2 linked regions of the Danio rerio genome follow. Each later gene encodes a partner of the first gene's protein in a complex. Links are inferred from orthologs where the notes say so. Each region holds a gene or a part of one and is shown on either strand. Other genes may lie near its edges.

Evidence for each region.
Region 2: the proteins of kif18a (region 1) and kifbp are in contact, whole or in part, in a cryo-EM structure (PDB 7RSI), measured with the Homo sapiens proteins. The link is inferred for Danio rerio from reciprocal best matches to the Homo sapiens genes KIF18A and KIFBP. Residues at the interface, in NP_112494.3 of Homo sapiens: Glu181, Thr183, Gln184, Lys185, Gly186, Arg274, Phe275, Val276, Glu277, Gly278, Thr279, Asn280, Ile281, Arg283, Ser284, Leu285, Leu288, Gly289, Val291, Ile292, Arg314, Lys317, Asp318, Gly322, Asn323; in NP_056449.1 of Homo sapiens: Ser150, Glu151, Tyr212, Tyr213, Gln216, His220, Gln238, Ile251, Asn252, Thr255, Gln258, Asn262, Gly414, Tyr415, Val459, Asp460, Leu461, Asn462, Pro463, Gln464, Leu467.

What each region holds. Positions count from the first base shown.
Region 1 is NC_133182.1:32,059,245-32,063,076, forward strand, and holds part of kif18a (kinesin-like protein KIF18A), read right to left. Parts: intron 3,019-3,832; coding exon 2,821-3,018; intron 1-2,820.
Region 2 is NC_133188.1:26,241,744-26,245,575, forward strand, and holds part of kifbp (KIF-binding protein), read right to left. Parts: intron 2,167-3,832; coding exon of another isoform or gene 2,087-2,166; intron 1,998-2,086; coding exon of another isoform or gene 1,991-1,997; coding exon 1,814-1,990; intron 1-1,813. UniProt on the Homo sapiens protein: Activator of KIF1B plus-end-directed microtubule motor activity. Required for organization of axonal microtubules, and axonal outgrowth and maintenance during peripheral and central nervous system development.

The sequences.
Region 1 (3,832 bases):
AGGTAATTTTAATGTGCTATAGAGAAAAATTTGTTACATTTCTAAATATTTAAAAACAACTTTAAATAAATGTTGGAGTAAGTCAATATATTTTCATTTCTTTTTGTAAGTAACACATTGCATTTTAGCAGTAAGAAGCTACGATACAGATTAAGCTGAATCTTGACAACAAAATCAAATCACAATATTTGTCCAAAAAAATGGCAGATTATTTTCCCCCCATATCGCACAGCTCTAGTACAAATGTTATTACAACATAATGCAATAATACATTATATTTTTATCATTAAGATGTCTAAAGTACCACATTATTTTTTAAAGGTTCCATGAAATTAAAATAAAGTTTTTTAGATGTTAGTATCAGAGTAGTTAGTTTTAAGATATCTATAAGCTTGTGTACTTTAAAACAGTGACAAAATTCCCATTTAGAAAATATCAAACTGATAGAAACATGTAAAGCTTGTAGTTTGTCACTTCCAACTAAAGGGATCAACAGTTTATTCACGCCATCTCAAACTTCAGTTTCTCATCAAATCATAACCAATCAAATGCTCCCTACTAGAACTTGACATGCCCCACCCCCTTCAAAATTATTCTTATTTGCTTTTTATTTAATCACATGAGCTAAACCACTCTTACTGGCAGAGTGGTGATGAAACAAAATGCTATTGGCTGTTTTTTAAAAGGGGAGGGGCTACATGTCCCACCCACTATACGTGTTTCGATTAAGATTACGTCAACAATCAAATAAAAATGCATATTTTAAAACACTTTGAACACCTTTAAAAATATTTTGCCACAAGATTTTAAAAAACAAACATTTTTAAACTACAGATGTATTTATTTACTAAACTTTATTTACAGTGTGAATGTGTGATATGAGAAAAAATGACTTACAATTTGATAGCCATGTCTGTATTAAAAATGTTAATCTCAAAACGAACTAAAAACATTTCCTGAATGTTTCCTTGAGAAGGTTCACTATTCAGCTGAACTAAGCTCGTGAAAGACATTTATAGCAAAGAAATTAAACACATCAGCTTCTATTCAATCTTTTTCATAGCCAATGAATGTAAAAAAAGCATAATATGCCAGGGTTTAAGGACTACGCAGTAGCAAATTCCCACCTAACACTCAATAATAATTAAATAATGTTTATAATGACTCGTGGGGTGAAACAAATGCTGCAAGGCAGATTTACCAACCATTTTGAATGAATTCATTCTACATCAGTCACGGCATAATAGGATTGGGTGGCAAATTACCCTCAAACAGGCTCACAGACAAAAAATCTGGATACAATTCCACACAGCGTCTCTGGTGGAGGCATACTGGAATCAGCACAAGACACACACACACACACAAGGCAGCCCTGAGGAGAGGGGTAAGTGTACACAACAGAGTCTGGGTTGTAGGTCTCCCAATCTGATAGCATCAGTCCCTGAACCACAGAGCCTTTGGGTGTTTCCCAAAAGCAAAGAAGAGATGGAAAGGCTAATACCTTAAGAGCAAATGTGCCACAACACCGTATACAGCAAGCTGACCCCGGCTGGCTAAAGACCAAAAAAGGCTAAAGTAAAGATAAGTAATGCTGATAGACTAAATTCATTGGTTTAAATCATAGCAAGATGCAGGTAATTGCTTTTGTGGCAGGCCCACACAGAATTTGTGTACCTATTGTATGCATTTAACCCAGTGTTAAATGAAGCTAAAAATACTTCATTCTTTTATAAACTAATGGATAGAATGGAAAGCAACTGATAGTATTAGCGAACAAACTACATCATCGTTAAGTCTTAAACATATGCTGCCAGCCTGCCACAATAAAAACTTTGTAGCGGTACAAACCTAAACACCAAACTGGAAAGGGGCTCTGAGAAACAGTGCAAAACTAAGCACAAGACACCATATAAGTCTTTTAGCATGCAATAGCAAACATATTAAAGGTTATAAGCACAGACAGAGGTTGCAATGTTAATCATTACAATGTTTTATATTTCCAATAATGTGTGCTTTTTTTCAATTTTAGCAATTGAAGCAGGATCAAAATAACTTTCCTATGAATTTATTTATATTGACCTTATTCTAAAATGCGGAAGTGCGCCTGTTTTCGCGATTGTCTTAGAACTTCCGATTCAGTCGCCTATGGTAGAAATGACTAGGAATAATAAACGGCAGAAAATGGCCAAACTACTTCCTCAACAAACAAATGTTTGCATGACTACACAGACCAAGTAGCATAATATAATAAGAAAATATTAAATTGCAACATCAAGCAGCGTAACGAGCAGTTGTTAACGTCAAAAAATGAATGGAAGTGAATGTGACCGGAAATCGCGAGACAAAAAGATTCAAATGGCAGCGCCCGCTCGTCAGCTGACAATAAGGTGAATATACAGAGGCTCAATTTTTATATTAGATTAGGAAAACTAAGATAATGACACATGGGGACAATAGAGTTGTGTTTGGGCTATAGCCTAATAGAATACTTATTGTAAGATGATTCATCACTCCATTACATTTGTCGCTCATATGATAATTGTTGTTTTAACAATGTGCAAGTATGTCTCACTTTGCAAAAAAACAAACCAAACAACACTTAAACACCATGCAAAGACATTTATTCCCAGCTAATGAACAATAAAAAAAATTCACGACCAATCGGATCATTCCACTTAAATCTAAAGAGCTTGAGCAAATAACACTTTTAAAGCAAACTGCAAATAATACTAGCAACTCGTTTACGTGTGAAATTATAAAACATTTCTTTTCAACAAGATCTGGGTAATCCCTTAAACTTAACAGAAGGTGTAGACCTACTTTGGGGTTGGCGAGCGTGTTGATGACATTCCCCAGAGCAAGGAGCGAGCGGTTGATGTTGGCCCCTTCTCTGAGACGAGCCCCCTTGGTGTTGGTCGCACTGGCCCTTTCTGATCCGGCCAGGTCGATTAAGCTCATCTTGGCCACCCGAACATTTGGATTAAGACTGGCTGTCTTATCCTGTTGCCTTAAGTAGATCTAAAGAAAGAAAACAAAGATGGAGTAAGAACATTTCAGTCAGATTGAATATTAATATTTCGTCCTGACTACTTTGTAAGCCAGCTGACACTGGTTTGAACTGCTCAGTTAAAGAGATCGATCTCTCAAAAGGATAAATCCTGTCATCCTCCACTTGTTCCAAAAAAAGATTTCTTTCTTCTGTTAACACATAGGAAGATATTTTGAAGAATGTTTAAAACCAGAAGCCATTTCCCTCCATTTTATGTATTTTACACTACTGTGGGTGTCAGTGGTTACTGGGTTCCAATATTTTCATTGGTGTTCAGTAAGAAAAGAAGTAAAAATAATTCTGAAAAAAAAAGAAAAAAAAAAAAACATTTTTTTTCTTTAAAATATTTAATAAAAATATTTCTAGTTTATAACATTTGATCAAATGTATACTTAATAAATTTTAATATTTTAGAGTCTAGGGGCTCTATTTTGACGGTCCATGCGCAGAGCGCAAATGCTTTCAGGGCGGGTCAGAACGCATTTTTGCTAATTTGAGGACAGGAAAATCTGCTTTGCGCTGTGGCGCATGGTCTAAAAGGGTTGAGTTTATTTTCTTAAGTTAAAATAAAACTATTTCTAAATTCAGTTCTAATTTTCAGCAAACAAATAAATGAACAATAATAACAAAATGTGCTCAAAAACCTGAGTTATATCCTAAAACACATGCTGTGCCCCATATGGTCTAAAACCTGACAGGTGGGCAAATCTAAGCTTGTTTTTAATAAAACAAATATAAATATGGATATATTAAATAATACTGCTAATAATAATAACATTATAC
Region 2 (3,832 bases), on another chromosome or scaffold:
CAGCTGAGATTGTCAACCTGTATATTCCATTTCAGTCAATTATTGAAGAAGACACCAAGATAATTGTATGAAGTTACCTTGCAGACATTTAAAGCTAGAAGTTTAGAAATAGTTATAGCCCCTTGAGATGATCTCATTTTCGAGGGGGTCCCTAAGAAGTACACAAACGGAACTTAGGTTAAAGCAAGCTAAAGATTTGTATAATATTCAATGATAGGATCTATCTTAATCTAAAAACAAACCTTCATAAAGAGTTGAAGAGTATTTAAAGGTTTTAATTTAACATCAGATGTATTGTTATAAATAATACCAGCATAATCAATAATAGAGAAAATTAATTGAGAAATATTTTTTTTACTTACTTGAAACAAAAAAAAACAATTAATACTACGATAAAGAGAGCCTAAAAGCTGAAATGACTTTTAAATTATTTGATTTAATTAATTTATTTTCAAACTAAAAATATGATACATAAAATATCATTATCAAAAAGAAATACATTTCAACATGGTCGAAAATGGAGCGGGATGAAGCATAAGCTTATTATTCTCCCACCCCATTACCCCATACATCATTCGTTTATTACTTAAACTTATTTATTCTTTTACCTATCTCTTTTTTGTACATGAAACAAATTTGATCCATTTGGCATCTTTGACAAATAATATGTTTGATTCCATTTGTACCTTTTCATTTTGTAACATAGACCCAAAGAAGAAAATAAAGAAAAAAATACATAGTACTGCAAATAGAAAAAATAAACAACAACAACAACAACATAGTATTGCAAATAGCCATTAATTAAAATTATCATACCTTTCTCTTTTTATCCTTTTCAATAACCTTCATCATCATATTCCTTTATTAAGATATATTTATAGTTTTTTTAATTGATTAATATCCTGACGTTGTTTTAGAGTCTGATCTAGACTGTTCCATAGTTTTACACCACGTACAGACATACACAAACTTTTTAAAGTTGTTCTTGTTTTCAACCTCCTAAAATTTAGTTCTCTCAGATTATACCCCCCTTGTCGTTCTTCAAAAAACTTTTGTATACATTTCTGAAGTAGTTTATTCCTAGCTTTAAACATAAATTGTGCTGTTTTAAACTTAACTAAATCATTGAACTTAAGTATCTTTAATTTAAAAAATAAAGGATTTGTATGCTCTAAATACCCGACATGTTCTATTAGTCGAATTACTTTTTTCTGCATTGTACATATGGATCATAAATTAGATTTATATGTATTCTGCCAAATTTCAACACAATAACTCATGTATGGCAACATAAGTGTGTTATATAATATATACATTGATTTATTTTCCATGATAAATCTTGCTTTATACACTATTGCTACAGTTTTTACTAATTTTGATATCACATTATTTATTTGCAGTTTCCATCAAATTTTATAATCCAATACAACACCAAGAAACTTAATTGCATACACTCTTTCTATAACTTCATTATTAATTTGTATTATTGTACTTTTGAATTAAAAAATCGATACGGGATATAAAGGACAGTTCAGTATCGAGCCAATGTCCTAGAAATTTAAATTTGTCAATATTAGAAAACTGTGACCCATCATCAATTCTAATATCATATATCTATGTCTACAAACAGTAAATGTGGTATTTTTGCTTTAATTAATTTACAGTAAGATACATAGATTATACAGGAAATAGTTAACCATGTAAGCATGTTAACAAAACTGATCTGAAGCGAATAAGATACATAAACTCAATGGACCACACAATTGCTAATTACTGTAATACTTCTTTTAATCAACCTGTATATGAATTGTACCTTGGTGATGTAGTACTGTGACAGTGTGGCTGCATTAATGGCCCACTCCAGAGGCGCAAACTGCTTGTACTCCAGCTGTCTCTGTAGGGTGCTGTGACAGTACTGTGCAGCTCTCTCATACTGCTGCAGATTCTTGTACACTTGAGCCAGGTAATACAGCGTGTGCGTATATGCCATTTCAAACCTATTCGGCACATATGGGGAAAACGTGGGGTTAAAATACTCCTGGTTCATAGTCATTTTATTGAGTATATTTAAAGAGAGGGATGTTACCTTCTAATCTTCTCTTGTTGGGATAATTCTTCTCCTTCTGGCACAAAAAAGTCTTGAAGATCCAGGGGTGGTTGACCATCCTAATGTGCATAAAGCAAACAAAACACAAATCTCATATCATTTACTGATACCCATAGAGAGACAAAAATGGCTATTAGTGCCCTGTGATTTTTGTGTTGTAGAAAATTAGGGTAGAATCACAACAATTAAAAGTATTAAATGGAAAAACATTCAATTGTTATAATTGAATTTTTGTTTAAACTAAATCAGGGGTGCCCAAACTTTTTCCTATAAAGGGTCAAAAACAAAACTTGACTGAGGGTTGTGAGCTAAAAATATACCAACCTGTGTTACATTAAACTTGCCAAGGGGAATTGCCTCATTTATTCGATAATATAAACAAAAGATAACGTTGATTCGAATTGTATTTAATATCTAATGCAGCATTGTTTTTAACATTTTATAATAAGCTATTTACAGTAAAAACATAAACATTTCCATTTATAACACAATGGAGCTCAATGTTGAATACACTAGTTGAGCTGCACCTGCCTTTACTTTGATATGCTCGTAGATGTCAGATGTACTGTTTGTCAAGTGACAATATTTACTTTTTAAAAGTCTAATTCATTTACAACATTTAATTGAATCATTTAACTTCAGTTGCGTTTTTTGTAGCTCAGGAATTAAACTAAGAAACAAAAGATTACTTTAAATTTAAATTTCAAAATGACGACATCTGTCAAGGACATTCGCCCCAACCACCAACATTCTCCCTCTCTTTTCAGATGGGATGGCGGGCCGAATCAAAGGTTACCTTGTGCCAACTTTGGGCATCTCTGTACTAAATGATTGTTATTTGGTAAAATAAATATAACAGAATTTAGGGAAAATAATTTTAAAGAGCTATATGGAAAAAAATCTAATTGTGTATTATATTAATATTTAATGAATACATTCACAAATAGACCAAAAAGCTCATGCAGCTACATTCAGCCCATATCGTTGAGTGAATCAGACATTATTATAGAAACCTCTGTAATATGAATTATAAATATGCATGGTAATAAAAGCTATTTTTAAAAATGTAAATGTACTCCAATTTGTGTATCTATGCAAAATTCAGTGCTGTTTACTTTAGTTTTGTTAGAATTAATTGTCACGCCAATAAGAAACGAGCAACTACGGCATATCGATAATTAATTAAAAAAAAAAAGAAAACTGAGTCATGGAATACTGTAAATTCACATAAAATCAATATATTACAAAATATTGTATCTAAAGATACAAACAACATCTTACAGTTTTATTTTTTGTTTTGATTGTGTATATTGCTTTTAATTATTAAAATTATTTCCACATTACCATTTTAATATGACTTACCTTTCTCCTTTATTAAAGGTGTTTAATATAGTGGTTATCAGCTTCAGTCTTAGTAACCACTCAGCACATTTTGTTCAGTTTATAGAGCCAAAGCCACTGGAAAACGTACCTGCCTCCCTTTGCCAAGATCAGCACAATAGCTAAAGCTACTGCTCTGCCATTACTCAGATCTGCAGCAGCTAATCTTCAACATGTCTACCCTTTAAACATAGATTTGATTGATCTATTTATACTACTATTTTTATACCTTCTACTGTTTTGTTAGTCACTAGTAATTTTGTGAAAGAGAAGATATAGTGTATGTCACTTATGATTTCTATATTCTCCGCTAATAGTAACTGACTCTCACAATATCAACGAAAA